4 linked regions of the Arabidopsis thaliana genome follow. The protein of the gene in region 1 interacts with the protein of each later gene in a pairwise test. Each region holds a gene or a part of one and is shown on either strand. Other genes may lie near its edges.

What was found.
Region 2: the proteins of NAC019 (region 1) and AT5G42940 interact in a two-hybrid assay, tested with the Arabidopsis thaliana proteins (one study listed by BioGRID).
Region 3: the proteins of NAC019 (region 1) and CPL1 interact in a two-hybrid assay, tested with the Arabidopsis thaliana proteins (one study listed by BioGRID).
Region 4: the proteins of NAC019 (region 1) and RHA1A interact in a two-hybrid assay, tested with the Arabidopsis thaliana proteins (one study listed by BioGRID).

The regions. Positions count from the first base shown.
Region 1 is NC_003070.9:19,696,401-19,700,355, forward strand, and holds NAC019 (NAC domain containing protein 19), read right to left. Parts: upstream 2,083-3,955; 5' UTR 2,045-2,082; coding exon 1,864-2,044; intron 1,767-1,863; coding exon 1,498-1,766; intron 1,396-1,497; coding exon 892-1,395; 3' UTR 523-891; downstream 1-522. UniProt on the Arabidopsis thaliana protein: Transcription factors that bind specifically to the 5'-CATGTG-3' motif.
Region 2 is NC_003076.8:17,215,781-17,222,468, forward strand, and holds AT5G42940 (RING/U-box superfamily protein), read right to left. Parts: upstream 4,893-6,688; 5' UTR 4,582-4,892; intron 3,479-4,581; 5' UTR 3,392-3,478; coding exon 1,769-3,391; intron 1,621-1,768; coding exon 1,561-1,620; intron 1,436-1,560; coding exon 1,337-1,435; intron 1,249-1,336; coding exon 1,108-1,248; intron 1,022-1,107; coding exon 869-1,021; 3' UTR 549-868; downstream 1-548. UniProt on the Arabidopsis thaliana protein: Probable E3 ubiquitin-protein ligase that may possess E3 ubiquitin ligase activity in vitro.
Region 3 is NC_003075.7:11,509,056-11,517,019, forward strand, and holds the start of CPL1 (C-terminal domain phosphatase-like 1), read left to right. Parts: upstream 1-1,933; 5' UTR 1,934-2,455; coding exon 2,456-2,773; intron 2,774-3,011; coding exon 3,012-3,488; intron 3,489-3,715; coding exon 3,716-3,926; intron 3,927-4,005; coding exon 4,006-4,163; intron 4,164-4,433; coding exon 4,434-4,501; intron 4,502-4,611; coding exon 4,612-4,717; intron 4,718-4,843; coding exon 4,844-4,927; intron 4,928-5,066; coding exon 5,067-5,672; intron 5,673-5,772; coding exon 5,773-5,836; intron 5,837-5,919; coding exon 5,920-6,050; intron 6,051-6,123; coding exon 6,124-6,177; intron 6,178-6,323; coding exon 6,324-6,420; intron 6,421-6,878; coding exon 6,879-7,093; intron 7,094-7,196; coding exon 7,197-7,283; intron 7,284-7,479; coding exon 7,480-7,545; intron 7,546-7,619; coding exon 7,620-7,693; intron 7,694-7,779; coding exon 7,780-7,867; 3' UTR 7,868-7,964. Other genes in the region: AT4G21660 (proline-rich spliceosome-associated (PSP) family protein), read right to left, coding at 1-38, 124-375, 496-717. UniProt on the Arabidopsis thaliana protein: Processively dephosphorylates 'Ser-5' but not 'Ser-2' of the heptad repeats YSPTSPS in the C-terminal domain of the largest RNA polymerase II subunit (RPB1). This promotes the activity of RNA polymerase II.
Region 4 is NC_003075.7:6,905,620-6,908,952, forward strand, and holds RHA1A (RING-H2 finger A1A), read left to right. Parts: upstream 1-1,868; 5' UTR 1,869-2,157; coding exon 2,158-2,637; 3' UTR 2,638-2,823; downstream 2,824-3,333. Other genes in the region: RHA1B (RING-H2 finger A1B), read left to right, coding at 447-920. UniProt on the Arabidopsis thaliana protein: Probable E3 ubiquitin-protein ligase that may possess E3 ubiquitin ligase activity in vitro.

The sequences.
Region 1 (3,955 bases):
TATATTCAGTAACAATGTGGCTAATGTGTACTAGAGATTGTGTTAACGCGCACTCTAAATCAAAATAAGAACATCTCGAATAGTTTAAAACCCTTTTTGAGTATTCTCATCCTCTTTTGAACTAAATGGTTATTTTTGGTACTTTCAATTCTTTATTTCGTTATTTTAATGTTTTGAAAACTCTTTATTAGAGATGTTCTTAAACTTTTACATGATTCATGTCAGAAATTAAATTTAAACTATTAGGTCGGATTTTCCTAGGTACAGTTAAAAAATCGAGTATTCCGTGTTTTACTCTTATCATTCATACCCTAATTGCAAACGCATTTAGTCGACCCACAATAAACATGTGTTTGAAACTTGTACGGTATAAACTGTTTCTCTACAATCTCTTGTCAAGATGGTCAAACAAGCAAGCCCACGTTACACACCTAAGTTCAGCTAACCCAACGCTCCTTTTTCAAATACAGTATATACAGTAAGTCTCTCAATTTGTGGTGTGTTACTATATATTCGTAAACAGAAAAGATTTGTATGTAGGTTTATGATTACATAACGTATGCTTATATTAAAAATGCATGAGATAGTTAAATATATTCTTTTGGATAGCTCAAACAATTAAACTTACATGTATAGCTAGCCACAACTAAACAATATATCAATATGCAATTTCAATCCACTAAATTTATACCAATACAAAGATAACCAAACAGCAACAAAATAAAGTTACGAAATCTATTCGTCAAATTTTCTATGCATGAAAGATTACAAATCTACATCTAAATCTATGAGTCTCCCTCTTAACCCAAAAGAATTGAAATTCAAATACATATAAGATTTGCCACGGGACAAAAATTAACGACTTATTTTTATTGCGTCAGCATTTCATCATCACATAAACCCAAACCCACCAACTTGCCCCGAATACCCAAACGAGTCAACACCATAACCCTTTTGAGCTAACTCGCCCGAGTTATTAAACCCGTGACTGCTCTCGACTTCCTCCTCCGTCTTCAGGTAGCCACAGTTGTACTCGAGATTAGGAACAACATGACTCATTCCGAGTTCCGGTACCGAGTTATTATGCTCAACATTACCGGCAAAACTAGCCCAATCGAAGTTAGAAGTATCCGCAAGACCGTGGAACCCGGTTTTCTGTTCGGTTAAGTCCGGTCTGAGCGACGAGATGCGGTTTGGGTTAGAAAACTGGAAATTTCTGTTGTCGATCTCTTGATGAAACGAATCAAGAACGTCTTCAAAGTGAGAAGAAGACGACGTCGTGGACGAAGTACCGTTGTTGCTGAATTCTCTAGCATTCGCGATTCCATTATCGTAAACTTGTTTTTGTGCACTTGATTGCTTCTTGTATATTCGACATAGAACCCAATCATCCAACTAAAGAAAATTAACAAGAATATTAATTATAGGTCATTCAAAACACTACAAGAAGAAAATATAAGATATAGTATTTATTAATGTTTAGATTTTATTTGTTACCTTAGTGCTTCCGTTTCTACGAGAAGGTTCAATGAGACGATACTCATGCATGATCCAATTGGTTTTAGTACCTTTAGGAGCTTTTCCGATGTAAAACACCAAAGCTTTTTTAATACCAACTCTTTGTCCTTCCGTCGAGATTATTTTATCCGTACCCGTAGCTTTCCAATAACCCGATCCGGCAACCCGGTTAGGTCTTGACCCGTTTGGATATTTTCTATCCCTAGGACTAAAAAAATACCATTCTTTTTCTCCAAATAATGCTTTATCTATAAATCACAAAAGAAGAAAAACCAAGAAAATTATGAATCTCTGTTAAGAAAAATAAACATTTTTTGAGAAGGGTTTCAATTAGTATATACTTACTTGGTAAAACCCATGGATCGAATTTGTAAAGATCTATTTCGGCGATGAGCTGAAGAGAGAAATCGTAACCAGCTGCTTTTCTACAGAGATATTGAACCATAAGCTCTTCATCGGTCGGGTAAAATCGGAAACCCGGTGGTAAACTCAATTGCGTTAACGGGTCAGTTTCTTGGATACCCATATTTTTTTCTTTCTTTCTTATTTTTGACAATAATGTTTGGGTCTCGTGCTACTTATATATGGACGCAGTGTATAGGTGAATCCACCGCCGCTGATTAACGTGTGTACTGAATATGGGACCCATTTTTGTGTTTATCTATAAACACTTTTGAATTCTGACACGTGTGTCAGTTAGATCGTCGTGATTTATGCAATCCCTTGAGTTCATTGAACCTACATGAGTAGATTTAGCTCTTCCTCGTACTATTTTTTTTAAATGGTTTTTTTTATTAACATTTGTTTATTCATCTATTTATCAATAATGTTCCGCTAAATTTAAAAGTATTTTCCAATCAAAATAAGATTCAAATGAATGTTTGGAAATTTGCTGCTTAGACATTTGGAGTTCACATATAATATTTAATTTAATCGAGATTTTTTTCCTAGGATTGTCTATTTAATTATTTAAGTAATGTAAAACAAATTAAAAAAATGATTTTCGATTTTCCTTTTAGGATTTTTTTTTTTTTTTTAAGGATATTTTTTATTTACAAAGTTTATTGTCAATATAGTAACCAGACGACATCTAAACCACAAAACATTATTGACTTTATCTTGGTCGATTTAATCAACATTGAACCGTCCATGTACTTTTTGGTGGTCTATATATTCGTGTAGGGGACTGAATTTCAGAATAAAGGAACAATTATTTGGCCAAATTTGTACCCAAAAAAAAAAAGATTTTTTGGCGAAATGATTGAACAGTAACCATGAAATATGTGAACTGGTAAAGGAAGAGATATTTTATTTCACGTGTTTTTTGTTGACGGGTTTTCTGAAATGTATATGTGCCAAATGTTGTAATAAGAAGGACACGCGTAATGTTGTGGTAGGGTAAGGGAAAGAGCTTCGAAAAAAGCGAAGTTGAAAGGACAAAGGAACTGTTCAATGTATCTTAGGTTACAACATGGAAAGCGTTTTCCATACGGACAAAACTACATCATGACGACACGTGTCCACGTGTCTATCGTAGAAGTTAGGCGCAATTTGTCATTTGTCAAAAAGACGTTATAACGATGGGAGAAGAGAAAAAACACGAGTTGATGTTGACTAAAGATTTTTTCAATTTATTTTTGTTTTCAGAAACATTAACAAACACAACTCGTAGTAGCTGCTTCAAAGCTTCATAGTATCTTTTTTAAAAAAAATATAGGGTAAAAAACTTCATAGTTTCTTTTTTTTTTTTGTGAAAAAAAAACTTCATAGTTTCATCATTTAGTTCCATGGTTTTTAAAAGATAGAACCATATATAATGGTCGCAATTTTTGTTTAATTTAGAAATTGGGTGTTATAGTATAAAAATCCATATTGTTCGCTCGGAATATGCTGTTTTGAGTTGGAAAGTGAAGTATATAATTGACTAATTGAGCATGTTTAGAACACCTAAATTCCACTTATAACCATTAGATCACATAGATACCACGATTTGGATAAAATCCTTGTTGGATAATGTATAAATTAATATTTTTATCTACATTTTTAGTGTCGGTTTCACCAATATGTCTAACTAATTTAAGGACTTAGCAAAATTATTTGTTGAGTTTTATGTAAATCCACCATAGATAAAACATCTTAACCGAAAAATAAGTAATCCACATCAAGTTTGCATATAATATAATCGAAATTGAAATTAGCTATAGACCCTATACATATATTCAGATTTTGTTTTATAAGATCACGTATTGATGTAATTTTTTTTGTCTGTATTTATCCATTGATTAGTTTTCATGCAGTTGTGGTATTTCATAAATGAAAAAAATTTACGAATGAATTTTTCTTGAAATTTATATTATAATATAATCTAACCCTAGAACATTTTACTGAAATCATTAAATTTTTTATGAAAGTTTAAGCATACATATATATGACATTT
Region 2 (6,688 bases), on another chromosome or scaffold:
CAAATAGAGTTTGATTTTTGATTTGTTCTCCTTAGTATATATGCAAAACATTTCTAATTTAGAGTAACAAAATTGAGAAAAATATTGTAGTCCGGAATGGTTGTGATGGTTAGGACAGACAAATCCATTTGTTTGAAGAGATTTTCGTTTACCATTCATAAACTATAATCCGTTACTGTTTTAGTCCGCTTTGCCCATATCTACCATTCAAAGCGTACGTGTAATCCTTTGCATTCCTCTACAGTTCTACTATTTACCATAAAATCTCTTTTCTTAAAGTCCCATCATACGAGCATAACAAGTTAAACAACACACAACTTATTTCTCTCAATCTATTCATTTTATTCTTCCAACTAAATTTTTACTCAACTTGTTCACCTTATTACTCTGCCTCTTAAGGGACAACCATTTGCACATATCCAACTTGATTTTGTTTCTCCAAAATTGCAACATTTTTGCATCCTAAAACTTTTGTAACCAATTAGAGCAAACTAGGTAACTCAAAACAACATATGGGCTTTCAAAGTAAGTATTCTCTCAAAATCGGCTGATTCAACTTCCTGCTTCTTTCAAAGGATTCATAAACTTAATTGACAATGGGTAAAATTAAATTATCCAAACAAATCCATAAAAGAAAAAAACAACATTTCCCTACCACCCTTTATCTTTTCCCTTCAATCCAAATCTTTCCATCTTTCATACTCAGATTATAAATACGAACAAATTCTATCTTTTTTTTAAAAAAAATTGGGGACAAACTTGCCTGGCTCTGCAATGGTGTGGGGGCTTGAGGGTACCTTCTGTTTCTTTCATTTTTGATTATAAAATTGAATAGTTAAGAAAAAAAAAAAGCTCTTTCGAGAAATCATCATGCTATCCTCCGCTTCTTCGCGGTGTTCAAGCCTGTAGTCTTGCAGATTGGGCAAAGATTCTTCTGTTTCAGCCATTCTTTAATGCATTGGCTATGGAATTCATGCCCACATTCTAGTGTCCCCATGTCTTCTCCTTCGGTGTATTCCTCCTGCACCAAGTTTTCACCATTCATACTCGGACGAAAAACAATCTTATACCTTTTAAATGCTATTTCAGTAACTAGTATATTTTTACCTGACAAACACAGCATGGCTCTGCATCTTGTGGAGATTTTGTGTTGCTTTTGTATTTTCGTTGCTTTAACCGGTTTGATATGGTTTCCTCGTTTACACCGGTACAAACATCTCCAATCCGCTCTTCTAGTGCCAACAATTCCTACAGTTTATGAACCAAAAGGAGTTAGATTTAGTGATTTAACGTGACTCAGACAAAGATTTATGGTTCACTATGGTTTTTAATTTACCTCATATGACATGTTGTCCACATCAAGTCGCATGTCTCTATACCGGTCATGACCAGTAGCCCCATCAAATAGTACTGAGTGATTTAGAAGCATAACGTCCTGGAAAACAAGCATCCAGATTATTTATGTTCCAGTTATTAGGCTAGTTCATCTAGAAATCAACAGAGACAGACACAAGACAAGTTCGAATTTAGATAACTTCGCTACAATCAGGAAAAACTAACCTCAAGCCGCAAGTTGTTATTATTAGCATCCCTACGCATGACATCCAAGACATTCTGCATCTGTCGGAAAGAGAAACGTATTGTTAGTTCTATTTGAGTGACTGCTGAAGAACAAACAAATGGTATTTATGCGCAACTGAATGAGCCAAAGTTAACAAATTCCATCCACGTTAAAGGCTACATGCCAATAGAATTTGTATCGACTGACCTGGGACACCATAAGTCTGCTTCTTCCTCTGCTTGCAGCTGCCAAGGCCCGCAAAGGATGAGGAATACCAACCACACTATCCCCTTGCCTATCAAACAACGGACCTGCTCTCGAGTAAGCCCGATTATGCATCTGACTATTATCACCACCAGGCTGAAGCACAAGCCCATCCGAAGAGGCAGGAGGGGCCAACGAACGAAGTGTTGGATGATCACCAGATCTCTGGTTTGTAGCATCTGCTGCAAGGGAAGAAAGCAAGGACCTACGTGCAAGTTCAGACCTTTCAGTCCTTCTTCTTTGATAATGTGGTGAATTCTGGTAAGAAGTCCACGCTAGATTAGAAGATGGTGGTGGTGGTGGTGGAACACTTGTTGTTGAGCCTGTCCTGGACACTGATGATGCACTATTCAGGTTTCCATTTGTTACATTTCTGCTACTCTGACTACGGGCAAAATTTCCTACCTCAGGAGCTGCAAACATGGGAATCTCAAGAGTATTCCCGGGTATGCTTCTTGACCTGGTTTCATCTAGATGAAGATTTCTCTCAACGGGCGCAGTAGAGTTCGATGTTCCACCCACTAGTGAGCTCCCAGTCCACCGAAATGGTGGTAGCATAGTCCTTGAACCAGGTGGTATGCTCACAGGAGTAGAATTTGGGTTACGAGAAACGACAAAAGACTGTCCAGGTCTCAAGTCCAATGAATGCTGATCTGCTGGTAAGTGTCTTGACAAGTTCAACTGGGATGGAGGGACAGGCCGCCTGACAACAGTTCCCGCAGCAAAGGTAGATGGGTTTACAGTTTCTTGATGATCTGAGGGATTACTCCTGACGCATATATTTCTACTGGAGCTCTCTGCAATGGCAGAAACAGGAAAATTTGGTGCAGAAACAGGAAAATTTGGTACAGTACCGGAGACCATTCCTCTTGGTCCATTGTCAAGGGAGCCAGATATGTTTAAACCATTTCCTGGCCTAAAAACCGTAGAACCTGGGGTCCACGAACTGCTTTCTCCACGCTGGAAATCATGATAACCTCCTGAAGAAGATTGACTAATACTGCCTTCAAGAGCTTTTCTTTTGCAGGATGCACGACGTCCCTCTACAGAAGAACCTGTTCCAACACCGTTCTCTTCAAAAGATCTGCCAGGTTGTGAGACCCTGGTCCCTGGTCCATTAGCTTCTATGAAGCCAGACCGACCTCTATATGGATTAATATCCTCGTGAATTTCTATATACTCTGCATTCAGATTGACATTCTGAACAGGTTGATTTGTGCCTGATGGCTGCGCAAACACTGGGTCTAAATCAATTATTTCATTTCCTCGTCCGTCAAAGCATCTTGTTTCCATTCGTTGCTCATTGTGACTGGAAGCTTCATCCTTCGTGCCACTAGAGCTAGCCTCACCAAGGCTAAATCTGCGTAAACCCTGTTGCTCGTGATAAACTGAGTTTGCAAGCGAAGTATTTGATTCAGAATTTGCAATCATGTAATCCTGCAAGTCATTATCACCAAGACTGTGAATATTCTCCCAATGATCTATCACACCATTACTTGAAGAAGAACCATGCTCAAAGTTCAAGGCCTCTGATAAATAGCCAAGACTGGCCCTCTCCCCCTGCATCTTGGCTAAGCTTTTAACCACAGTTACACTCAGGAGAAGAGAACTCACGAGACTACCCTGCCCTCAACAATGTGCCTAATGGGGAGACTGCAAAACAACAAAGACAGTAGATCTTTCAGTAACAAAGACAAGGAAAAGGCTTCTACACGATGTCAACTGTAATAAGAAACATATAAACACACTCAATCAAAACATAGCTCCTACAATTGTAATAATAAATGGCACCCTGAGATTGCATATACAGTCATATAATCTGCTTCACCTAGAAGAGCACAAGGTGCAAAAGTCACTCAAAGCAAGACCGCTGCAACTACTACTAAATGCAACTTACTTCTAGATGCGACGCCTAACTAAAACACAAATGATTCAGTAGGAAACTAATGACACATGAGTTATTAACAAGCTTAAAAAATAAGAGGACAGATGCGATAGAAAATTCATATGATCAACCATTCTAAACACAAAAGAACTTCAAGTCTAAATTATCAAATTGACACCTAACTGCCAACTTCGAAACAAAGCGTCAATGAAAATGAGGTACAAACAAAATCCAGGACCACGTAACAAGCATGCCAATTTTGAAACAAGGAAAAGAGTGAAAAACATTTTACTCAACTACCACCACAATGGCAATTCAGAAAAACAAGAGAAATATCAAAATAAGCACTGCCTCATCAATGACATATCAACTACCCATAGATGCAACAGCGTATGAAGTTTCACAAATCCTCAATACCAAGCAAAGATGTATTGAAACAGCAAGGTAAAAGCAAAGACAAAAGAAACCCACAGCTTGAAGATAAAGCATCATCACAATAAAAAACAATTCAAAAACCTCAAAGAATCAAACTTTCTCATAAAACAAGCTCATAGAAGTAAAGATCCGATTCAAACATCTAAAACCCAATAACAAAAAATAATTTTTTTACCTTCTGATGAATAATAAATTCACCACAACAACAATTCTACAGAATTTGACACAAAATTTCAAAAAAAAAACTATTTTTCAAAAAACCCACCAACCGATTCTTATCTATTTCGATCGAGCTTTGAAAACCCAATAGAACCCAGAAAAGACACAAAAATCAAAATCAAAACCAAAACCAAACAGATACAGAACATAAATCGATCTAAGAACAATAAAAATCAAAACTTTATGAAGATTCTTAATGAAAACGAAAGAGACTCACCGATTGTTGAAGAGAGAAACCTACCGCTTTGTGGTGGAGGAGAAGGAAGAAGGAGAAGAAGAGAGAATGAGGAAAAAGGAAGGAAGCAAAGCACAACAACACAAATGGGAACAGAAAAGAGGATTATTAGGACGAGACGGCAATGTGTAATTTACCATATAACCCAAAATAAAAACTAATATTTTAAGGAAATTGAATCAAAAAGTTAAAAAGGGTCAGTCATAAGAACAGTTTCCAAAGACTGAATTGAATTGCTAAATGCCTAAATCAACGAATAAACAAAAACTAATAATTCAATGTGTAAAGATTTTTAATTAATTACAGTTACACGTAATGTGTAATGTTGAAGAAGAAAGCAAGTTGGCTTAAGAAGAAAGAGTTAATAGGATTTTTCTTTTGGGTCATTCATTAGTCATTACTTAAGCAAATTGTCCCAACCAAAAGTTTCTCAGCCTTTGCCTCTTCCATACACACGTCCCTCGTTTGTTTTACTTTTATTTGTTCATACTGAACTAAACCGGAACTTAACCGAGCAGAACAAATCCGGTTTCTTTTCGAACTTTTTGTTTCCTAGTTGTCATGTAACTTTGGTCTACTTTCTCCTTCTGTTTATCTTTTTTATTTTTATTGTTTATTTTCTTCCATTAGCTTAGATTCCCCATTTAAATATATGTACAAAAAAAAAGAGTATACGTGTGGATCAGAATCACTAGTTACCTAAATTTGGTACTGGCAAGATTTATCAATTTATGAATGGTCTTTCTTTATCCTATATACAAAAGAAAGAAAAAATCTAAAAATATTTTTTATTTGAGTGCATCATGTTAAAAAATATTTTTATTAATAATATTTACTTCTAGTTAATTGGTCAATATTGGTTTTATTGTTTGCAATCAATGCGTGAACTGTAATAAAAAAGAGAGTATATGTGTGCAGATTTATTAACTTATGAATGGTTTTATCCTATCCTATATATATAAAAGAAAGGAAAAAAACGAAAAAGGTTTTTTTAGGGTTAACAAAAAGTCTATGTGTAATATTTACTTCTAAATTTTGGTCAATATTTTATTATTAGCAATCAATTTCTTTATTATTTTCTGAACTGTAAATAATAAGGTTCATCCCCTTAAATAAATTTTATCTTCTTGAAACGTTTTTTTAAGAAGAAATTTCATTCTATTCATACATAATATTTTTATATTTTAAGAAAAATCATTTTAAATTTAATGTTTTGTTTAAATTTTATAAAATCCAAATATGGTTGCACATTTTAACTTTGATATATGGAAATTAAAGTAATTTCATATACCCCTGAAAGCATAATTTAATTTTAATTTTTGAAAAGTATTTGAATATTAAAATTTGTTTTGGGATGTGAAATGTTTTTGAAGGCATATGTTGATTTCATTGTGAAAATCAAAGTGTCTTTGTTTAATTAGTGAAACCACACACATGATTATAACCATCTTACTTTGAGAGATTCGAAGAAGAGAGAATTTCTATATAATGTTGTAATTGATCATGATTTAAATGAGTTTTTATATACATTTTAAAATGATTTGGTTTAGAGGGTTACTTCTCTAATTTTTAGAGAGAGAATTGAATTACTCAATATGGTAGAGAAAATTTTGGTCAAGAGTGAAATTTTTATATCTAAGTTCGACCATCTTTGGAAAAAAAACACATTTGTCTGAAAAGTGTGTTAGTTGGGTTTTGGCTAAATTCTAACTGGTTTACATGGTAGTTAGAAATGCAGGCGGTCTGATTATCCATGAAATTCGGAAAACACTCCAAACTTGGGACAAACTTTATGGTGGTCTTTCGGAGAGAAGTCTACTATAAAACAGGTGCAATTCTACCGACCAGATCAGCTGATAGGGTTTATCAAAAAAAAAATTAATTTTAAAACTTTATAAAAGCTACTTGTCTACAATTCTTGATAAAAGATGAAGCATTGGATAAGCTGCTAATCAAAGCTCACCAGTAAAAAATGATCATAGACAAAAAAAAGTGGATGGAACATCTGAAGCACATGCACTAGAAGTAGCAAATGAATCTTTCGGATTATGCGCATGAGCTTATTCTTTGGATCTAGCTATTATATAGC
Region 3 (7,964 bases), on another chromosome or scaffold:
ACCTGCTTCAGCTCAGCAATCTTCATTCTCCGTTGAAGCTGAGGAAACAGAAATTCAGAATATTCAGAATCTAAAGAATGCAATAAAACAAATTGAGAGGTAATAATAAGGTTTGAGCTATACCTTTTTCTTCTTATTAGAGATGCCTTTCTCTTTGTTCTGATTATCCTGCTCGTCGTCGTCTGAATCAGAATCAGAGTTAACCTTCTTTTTGACATCTTCTTTCTCCTCAGACTCATCTTTCGTACCGTCTTCTTCAGAGGCAAGAGGTTCGCGGAAGTTGAACTTCTCGAAGATTTCCTTAAACTCATCGTTAAAACCATCTTCAAATTCAGCTTGCTCTGGAACATACTCTATCACAATCTGCTCACAAACCTATCAAAGAGAAACATATACCAAAAATCATCAGCAAACGATAAACAATCACAAACCCTAAGAAAAACCCTAGAACACCTCTCCATGAATCGAGTACGAGAAGATGAGCACAAAGTTAACCTGTGGCTGGGGATCTGTATTCTCTTTGGATTCAGAAGCAGCAGAAACGTCCGATGCATCTACATCGGCTTGGGATGCTTTGTTGTTCTTCTTCTGCTTCCGTCTGCGGCGGCGACGGTCAATCTCACGAGATTTCTTAGAGGAAGCGGAGGTGTTTCCGTTGGAGACATCACCGTTAGAAACGACGCTATGAACGAGTGCGACGGTTGAATCGGCGGTCATATTCGGTGTTCTCTCTGAATCGGTGATGTGAAAAGAGAGATTGAGAGGAGAAGGAAGAACGACGGAAATCGAGGATATACGTATATGAACAAGAGTCGGTTTGCTGAAATTCTCTCTGATTCTATTTCCGGTTTGGCATAAGGCCCATATAAGTAGAAGACGAATATATCTGCCAATAGGCCCAACACTTTATATTTTTCTTCGAGTGTAAGAATTGTTTTGTAGAAGACCATCTACTAGTAACTAATAGAAAATTTCAAAGGAAATGTATGGAACAATATTCAAACACTACTATAAATGTTGGCACGAGTTAACTCTACATTATTCGTAAAAATGTTCTATTGAACTTTTAAAATTATAAAATTACAGTTTACACAATGTCTTGAAATTTTGAAGAAAGTTATAAGTATCAAAATTGTATATATGTGGGTATTTGAGATTTAAATAAAATTCTCTGACTAACAACAAAACTTTTAATAAAATTTAAATGTTTTAGTTTATTATTCGTAAAAATTTAGTTTTTACATGAATTGAGGTAATTTTTATTCACTTTGAGATTTTATTAATGTGAGCACGACTCCCGGTGTATGTTATCGGTTGTTTATTATGCAATTAGAACAATATACATTGTGCCTTTTTAGTTTCAAAATTGTTTTCATAAGACATTAGGAAAGAACACGGAAAAAAAAGACATTAGGAAAGAATTTTGTAACGGCTTTTGTACGTAACGGTTATTTTTAAACAAGGAAAAAAATACTGTCTATAAAAAAAAATTATCTTTACGTAGTTGTGTATTTTAGAAAACAAAATAAATCATTTTTTATTTACTAAACTATTATTTTATAAGGAAAAGATTGAAAAGAGTAGGGGAAAGATATATGTGAAAAAATATTCATGCTTGGTAGATAAAAAATATTTCACAAATAAAGAGACAAGTATATGTCAAAAATATCATGTCTTTTGAATAAATAATCTTCTAAAAAAAAAGAATTAGATGAACTATAAATATCTTGTGGTATATGAATCCTTGACACTGTAAAAATCAAAACATGAGATCAGAAACACAAGTATAAAAGTACATTACAAGTACGGTATGAATCGAAAAAAAAACAGAATTTGACAGGTTTTGAGCTGATAAAAACTATTTCAGGCTTTTATTAATTTTTAAAAATAGTATTAATTGTTTTTAAAATAAGACATAAATAAAAAAAAGAACGGTTAAAGAAAATGAAGGGGCCCTTCGTGTTTTGTTTTCCCTTAAAAAAACCAAGGACAAAGGCATAATGCCGTATTCACAATCTTGACTCTTCGTTATCTGGATCTAGGGTTTCTCTCGATTTTTAGAACGCCACAAAACCTAATAAACTTTTCCCAGATACACAAACAAACTCATCATCAACCAAGGAAGAAGAAAGAAACTAGGGTTTTTTTTTGTGGATTCATCATCGGTATTTTACAGATCTATATTCAAAGGGAACAAAATCTTAAGGAACAAACACTAAATTTTCATTCTTTCTCTTATTTACCCATTTATCAAAAATCTTCCTTTTGTTTTCCTGATTCTTGCTAAAGAAAAAAACTCGGATCCAATTCATAAACTAGTGTGGACTGGTGATCAATCTATCAATTCTGGCCAAGGGACAACAAAAAGTTTAGATTTTGATGAACCAATTTTGAGATGAGACAATAGACATCCATTGATCTGTAAACTTTAAGAAGGAGAAGGAGAAAAGAAAGTATGTATAGTAATAATAGAGTAGAAGTGTTTCATGGTGATGGAAGACTTGGAGAATTGGAGATATACCCTTCAAGGGAATTGAATCAGCAACAAGATGATGTGATGAAGCAGAGGAAGAAGAAACAGAGGGAAGTAATGGAGCTAGCCAAGATGGGAATCAGAATAAGCCACTTTTCTCAATCTGGCGAGAGGTGTCCTCCTCTTGCAATACTTACTACAATTTCATCTTGTGGCCTTTGTTTCAAATTAGAAGCTTCACCTTCTCCAGCTCAGGAGTCACTCAGTTTATTCTACTCGTCCTGTCTCAGGGACAACAAGGTATCTAAACCTTACGAACCTTTAAGCCTTACTCAGACTTAGATTTTATCAACTAAAACTCAAAAACACTTAATGATAAATAGGATTTTGTGTCATTATTTAACTTCCTTAATGTCAGAGCTGCATCAAGTTTGGGGCTTTAGAAACTTTTAGTAGAGTGGGGGTTTGAATCTTGTGTTGTTTGTTATGTTACAAATTGTCCTCATATTTGTGAGTTTTGGATTTTTGCTTCTTGCAGACAGCAGTAATGCTCTTGGGTGGAGAAGAGCTCCATTTGGTTGCTATGTACTCGGAAAATATCAAGAATGACCGTCCTTGTTTCTGGGCATTTAGTGTTGCTCCTGGAATTTACGATTCCTGTCTTGTTATGTTGAATCTTAGATGTCTGGGTATTGTCTTTGATCTTGATGAAACCCTTGTAGTGGCGAATACCATGCGCTCATTTGAGGATAAGATTGACGGGTTTCAGCGGAGAATAAACAACGAGATGGACCCTCAACGCCTTGCCGTTATAGTGGCTGAGATGAAGCGTTATCAAGATGACAAAAATCTATTGAAGCAATATATTGAAAGTGACCAGGTTGTTGAAAACGGGGAGGTGATAAAGGTGCAATCTGAAATTGTTCCTGCCTTGTCTGACAACCATCAGCCTCTTGTTCGCCCTCTGATAAGGTTGCAAGAGAAGAATATTATTCTGACTCGCATTAACCCAATGGTATGCAAGTCTTGAATCAGTATATGTCTGTTAGTTTCTGTTCCCCGTATACATATATGTTTAGTGCTTACTACACATTTAAAAGACAATAAGTGGTGGTGTGCTGTGTGGTGGATTTCCTTGAATACTTGTGGTATAACCTTTTATTTTTCATTTGCTCCTTTCTGGAGCACCTAGATTTTTCTGAATTCTTGTGGCTGAATCTGCATTCCTATATTTACACACAGATTCGTGATACAAGTGTTCTTGTGAGAATGAGGCCCTCATGGGAGGAACTTCGAAGCTATTTGACAGCAAAAGGGCGTAAGCGTTTTGAAGTATATGTTTGCACGATGGCTGAAAGAGATTACGCCTTAGAGATGTGGAGGCTCCTTGATCCAGAAGGGAATTTGATAAACACAAATGACTTGCTTGCTCGCATCGTTTGTGTGAAATCTGGTATACTTTTTGGTATCTTATACCTGCTTATATTTCATCATGGTAAAACTTCTTACAAGCTTGTAATTAACCACCACAGGTTTTAAAAAGTCACTGTTCAATGTGTTTCTCGATGGAACCTGCCATCCAAAGATGGCATTGGTAATTGATGATCGATTGAAAGTTTGGGATGAGAAGGATCAGCCGAGGGTACATGTGGTTCCTGCATTCGCTCCCTATTATTCTCCTCAAGCTGAAGTAAGTATAATTTTTACCTAGTTGAAATTGGTTATGAAAAATGCAGAAGCATGTGAATTTGATAAGAATATTATTAATCAAAAGAATCACAAGTCATTTAGAATGGAACAAATGAAGCCTTATAAGACCTAACATAAGCTAGCTTTGTGGTGAGTTCTACGCAAGGGGTCTTTGTGGGCCTGGTTTGTTGCACAATTTCTACCAGAAGTGATAGTCTTGACTTTTCAGTAATAAATGGTGTCACATATAGCTCGTTTCCTTTTCTTGTAGGCTGCTGCAACACCAGTACTATGTGTTGCCAGGAACGTTGCCTGTGGTGTCAGAGGTGGATTTTTCAGGTAAGATGTCAGATTTGATAATAGTAGTTTGTTTTCTTGACATCTCTACTGATCAAGGGTGCTTCCTTAGTACATACTTACGGTGAAATGGTATTTGAACTTGGTTACAGGGATTTTGATGATAGTCTGCTACCAAGGATTGCTGAAATTTCTTATGAGAATGATGCTGAGGATATTCCTTCTCCGCCTGATGTCAGCCATTATTTGGTGTCGGAGGTTAGTCGTGATACTTGTTAGCGATTGGGAGTAGATAATTTTTTGGTTCTCTTCCAGGCAGTCTGGGAGCTTATTTTACTCACCTTTGAAACTGCTTCCCAGTAACTCATTCTTTTTTCAATATAGGATGATACATCGGGTTTAAATGGGAACAAAGATCCACTTTCCTTTGACGGGATGGCTGATACTGAAGTGGAGAGAAGACTGAAGGTGATTTACATTTTGAGGCTCTATTGTTACTGAGTTATTGTGGTGATCCATTAAAGATGCCAACTCCAGTAAACATGGCTTCTGGTTTAAATTTTCTGCCCAATGTTGAAATTCAAATACATTTTTCCGTTTTATTCAGGAGGCAATTTCTGCATCTTCAGCTGTCCTTCCGGCGGCAAATATAGATCCGAGGATAGCTGCTCCCGTTCAGTTCCCCATGGCTTCTGCTTCTTCTGTTTCAGTTCCAGTACCAGTACAAGTCGTGCAACAAGCAATACAACCTTCAGCTATGGCCTTTCCAAGTATTCCATTTCAACAACCTCAACAACCGACATCAATAGCTAAACACTTGGTTCCTTCAGAACCAAGCTTGCAGAGTTCTCCTGCTAGAGAGGAAGGTGAGGTACCTGAATCAGAATTAGATCCAGATACTAGGAGGAGACTCCTCATATTGCAGCATGGACAAGATACTAGGGATCCTGCTCCAAGTGAACCTTCATTTCCTCAGAGACCTCCAGTTCAAGCTCCACCCTCACATGTGCAATCAAGAAATGGCTGGTTTCCTGTTGAGGAGGAGATGGATCCTGCTCAAATTCGTCGAGCAGTCTCAAAAGAATATCCGTTGGATTCTGAAATGATTCATATGGAAAAGCACAGGCCTCGTCATCCATCATTTTTTTCTAAGATTGATAACTCAACTCAGTCTGACAGGATGCTTCATGAGAATCGCAGGCCGCCAAAGGAGGTACCACTAATCTTATTTAACCTATGATTTTACAGTTGTCAGTTTTTTTGGTCTTTATACTGCTGTACGACGTTTAGTGCTCACTGTGATATATTTGCAGTCTCTCCGGAGAGATGAACAGTTACGTTCAAATAACAATCTACCTGACTCTCATCCTTTCTATGGTAAGCCATCAAAGTTATTTGTTCTTGTATCATTTTGTTCTGAAGATAAATCACTGACTTGGGTATTGGGATGGACTCTCTAGGGGAGGATGCGTCTTGGAATCAATCTTCCTCTAGGAACAGTGATCTTGACTTCCTACCTGAACGAAGTGTCTCAGCAACGGAGACTTCAGCTGATGTTCTACACGGAATTGCTATCAAATGTGGAGCTAAGGTATGTAAATATCATCATGATTACCATTAATTCCATACGTGAGTTGATGTGTTATTATTCCATGACATTGTAGGTGGAGTACAAACCAAGTTTAGTTTCTAGTACAGATTTGCGGTTCTCTGTTGAGGTACGTATTGCTCTTAGACGTATCTGTTTGTATGGTGTCAGTAATTTTGGTGGAACCTTATGCTCTTTGAGATCCTATATTTCCTTTGAGTGAGGTTACTTTGTTGATTGTGTCAACTGTACATTAAATCTATGTTTTTTTTGCAGGCTTGGCTTTCTAATCAAAAAATTGGAGAAGGGATTGGCAAATCGAGAAGAGAAGCCCTGCATAAGGCTGCTGAAGCTTCTATACAGAATTTAGCTGGTAAGACTTTCTGACTCATGATTTACTCGTGTCTTAATCTTTGTCTGCAGAGATACTATTTGAGATAGATTGTTTGAATCTGCTATATTGGGTGAATGTTATTTGTTTGATGTTTCTAAACCATCTTCACAATATTGGGTGTAGATCTCAATTTTTCAACCAATCTGTTTAGTCTGTAATATTAATAGATCTATTGTAGCTTCGTGTTGGTCCTCATAAATGGGTTTATATCAATGAGTATGAGTACTGCCACCACAAACGGTTGCGTGTCAGTATGTTATGATATCAAAACTGTGGGTCCCTTCCCTTTACAAGGGTGAGAGCTATCTTGGATTTGTGGCAGTTGGCTCAGGTTTAATATTGGTCGGCTTCATTCACATTGTTCTTATAATGAGGCTTTAAACTCATTGTTGTTCGTTTGTTTCCAGTTTCTTGAGTTCTTACTCCTTTTTTTGCAGATGGATATATGCGTGCAAATGGTGACCCAGGGCCCAGCCACAGAGATGCTACCCCCTTCACCAATGAAAATATAAGTATGGGAAACGCAAATGCGCTTAATAATCAGCCATTTGCTAGAGATGAAACAGCGTTGCCAGTTTCTTCTAGACCTACAGATCCGAGATTAGAAGGTTCTATGAGGCACACTGGCTCCATTACTGCACTCAGGGAATTGGTATGTATCTCCTTAGTGCGGATACTGTTGATTGATATGGTTGCTTGCTTACATTCACATATTGTTTTTTCTCATCTTTGATTCATCTGTAACCAAATTCCAGTGTGCATCGGAGGGTCTTGAGATGGCTTTTCAATCTCAGCGTCAGCTTCCATCTGACATGGTCCACAGAGATGAATTACATGCTCAGGTTCGCACCCCTAAAAGATTAGAACACAGAAGTGTTAAATTTTTTAAAAAAAAAATCTAAGATAGACAATTTTCAGTTAAAAGAGAAAGATTCATGATTTTCTCTTCAGGGCCATCAGTATATTTCATATCTATTCAATTGGTTTGAAGTATCTAGAGTGTAGACCCCTCTTGATACTCTTTGTAATATATTTCAGGTTGAAATAGATGGGCGTGTTGTAGGGGAAGGAGTTGGATCGACATGGGACGAAGCTAGAATGCAGGTAACTCAACTAAATTCTTGCCTCGGGTTTATTCTGATCCCATCTTTTCCCTTCTCTGACGTTCTTACCTTTAGGCTGCTGAGAGAGCACTGTCCAGTGTGAGATCAATGCTTGGTCAACCTCTGCATAAACGACAAGGATCTCCACGGTTTGTTCTTGACTATATCTATATGATTATCAAAATAAAAATGTCAGTTGATATATTTTAAAAACCGGTTTCTTGTTGATGTTTAGATCATTTGGTGGGATGTCAAACAAGCGATTAAAGCCGGACTTTCAACGGTCTCTGCAACGGATGCCATCTTCGGGAAGATACTCTTAAAAATAAAACCATGTGAAGAACGAACCACATTCTACATTAATTCCATTCTCTTGGTAAAAACAGCTACCAAGACGAATTCTTTGTCAAGTTCCTTTCT
Region 4 (3,333 bases), on another chromosome or scaffold:
ATGGATTCAAGATGATTTTAGTTTGGTAGGACCTATAGATTCAAGATCGTGTTCATATCTTCACTATCCACTCTTGAATCCCTGATGTCAAGATCCCAATAAATCCATCATTCGGGTATTAAATTTCTACCTAATATTAAAATTTGTTTTTTTTGTTTTGGTATATACTAAAGAAGACCCTTAACGTCACCACATTATCTATCACAGAAAATTGTATTAATATATTCTCTTTGTTTCTATACCAAGCAAAATATTTTACTATTTTACATTATACACTAAATAAGACCCACCATTGTTGATCAAATTGACTATACTTATCTTGAGCCGCCGGATTCAATTATTATAACTCCAACATCAATCTCACTATATATTATACTTGTCTCTATAATTCAACAATTCAAGCTTTATCTCTTTCTTTCTCTCCTCTCTATCTTTCTCTCACACTCATGGGTCTTCCAACAGATTTCAAAGAGCTTCAGATTCCAGGTTACGTACTAAAAACACTTTACGTCATCGGTTTCTTTAGAGACATGGTCGATGCTCTTTGTCCTTACATCGGTCTACCAAGTTTTCTTGACCACAACGAGACCTCTCGATCCGACCCGACCCGACTCGCTCTCTCCACGTCAGCAACTCTTGCCAACGAGTTAATCCCGGTGGTTCGTTTCTCCGATCTTTTAACCGATCCGGAAGATTGCTGCACGGTTTGCTTATCCGATTTTGTATCCGACGATAAGATTAGACAGCTGCCGAAGTGTGGACACGTGTTTCATCATCGTTGTTTAGACCGTTGGATCGTTGACTGTAATAAGATAACGTGCCCGATTTGTCGGAACCGGTTCTTACCGGAGGAAAAGTCCACGCCGTTTGATTGGGGTACTTCAGATTGGTTTAGAGATGAAGTGGAGAGTACCAACTAATAATGATGGTTTTACTTTTACTTTTTACTTTTTTCACGGTAATATTTTTCTACTGTATAATTCTTTCTTCCAAACTACTGTATAATTCAAGTATAAGATTATGTAATTGTGTATATTAGCATCAATCATCTTTCTTTGTTAAAGAACCGTCTGTATAAAATCTTCCAATGTAATCTGCTTTTCTTTTATTTGAATAAAAAAGTGGACAAATAAACACATCAAGTGTTATGGTATATCGCTATGTTAGGAATCTGAATTCATTTTCTTTTGAAGAAAAACAGTATTCATAATCTAATTCGTCTCTACCAAATAGAATTTGTAAACAGTTTTATACCGAAAAATATCTTAAAGAAACTCTTAATTTGTCTATTAAAATCCATGATACTATTTTTATTTGTACTTTATAAATTACAGAATGAATTAATACGTAAACTACCTTAGTCTTTGTCAAAATTGATATAAAGCAATATATTTTATTCAAAAAAAATAATAGTTTAGAAGATATTTCATCCACTATAAATCTATATGTCTTTCGACGAAAAAAACAAATTTTTGCCTTTCATAATATCTATCAAATGAATCTTTTTTATCATATTTAAATTCTTTCTGTTGTACTTTATATAACTACTACAAAATTGACATAGTTTGAATTAAAGCGGATAATCGACTTTTTAACTGATATTATTTGAGTTTTGCTTTGCTAAAATCATATACTATATTTAGGAAGAATTGTTAGAAATGCACATTTTCCATTACCACTTTTCAAAAATGTCATCTCTCTAAAACATTTATCAAAAATATCTTTAAAATCTGAAATATACCTAAATAAGTGTAACTTTATAAGAAAACTTAAACAAACTACTTTTATACGTTTGTAAAACTTTATAAATTTTTGGATGGAGTCTCTGAATAGTCGTTACCATTTTGAAGTAGTATTAAAGAACTTTTTTTTCTTTGAAAAATCCTTTAAACAGTGTTATTAAAATTCCTTGATGTCAATAGTCTTTAAACTGTGTTATTAAAATTCAACCATTCACCGTTTTGCAAAGAAAAGTATATAGAATATGTATTCTCTTTTGTTTTGACATCAATTTGGTTATACTTATCTTCAGCTGCCGGTTTGAATTGTACTCCAAACACAATTATAAATCTCACCATTTTTTATTATACACACTTTATTCTTGTCTCTATAGTTCCACATCTCAATCTAGCTCTCTTCTCTATCTTTCTCTAAATCATGGGTCTTCCTGAAGATTTCATCACCGAGCTTCAGATTCCAAGTTACATATTAAAGATACTTTACGTCATCGGTTTCTTTAGAGACATCGTCGATGCTCTTTGTCCTTACATTGGTCTACCTCGTTTTCTAGACCACAACGAGACCTCTGCACCCGATCTGACCCGACACGCTCTCTCTACGTCAGCGAGTCTTGCTAACGAGTTGATCCCGGTGGTTCGGTTCTCGGATCTTCCGACCGATCCGGAAGATTGTTGTACGGTTTGTTTGTCAGATTTTGAGTCCGACGATAAGGTTAGGCAGCTACCCAAGTGTGGACACGTGTTTCATCATTATTGTTTAGACCGTTGGATCGTTGACTACAACAAGATGAAATGTCCGGTTTGTCGGCACCGGTTCTTACCGAAAGAAAAGTACACGCAATCTGATTGGGGTTCTGGTTCAGATTGGTTTAGTGATGAAGTGGAAAGTACCAACTAATTGGTTTAATCTATGTCGGCAGAATATTTGTTGTATCAATTCCAGTATAACTCTATGTATATTAACATAGATCATCTTTTTGAAGGAACAACACTATATATATCTTTATACAAAAACAACACTATATCTAAGGATGTCAAAATGGATAACCCAACTCAACTTAACTCATAATCAAATGAGTTTAGGGTTAAATGAGTTATGGGTTGACCCAACTCATTTTGTTAAATGGGTTGGGTCAACCCATAACTTATTTAATTTGATGAGTTGAGTTGTTAAATGGGTTAACCTATTTAAATAGTAATTTAATTAATTATTATTATAAAATAATAATAAATAATTATCAATATTAATTCATTATCATCAAACTTAGGATATTTACCGATTCCACTTTTTACGGATTTACGTTTTCGACGAGAAAATCACGGGTTTACGTTTTTGGCGGAAAAATTATGGATTTACGTTTTTGGCAGGAAAATCTCGGGTTTACGTTTTTGGCGGGAAAATCTCGGGTTTACGTTTTTGGCGGAAAAATCACGGGTTTATGTTTTTTTGGTGAAAAAATTACGAGTTTACTTTTTCTCAATTTCATCGTTTGTATATTTAAGAAATTTGGAAAAATATTAATTTTATTAAATTGGTTTAGATGTGTTGATTAAACTTAAATTGACATTGGTTTAGAGATTTTAGTTGGTTTAA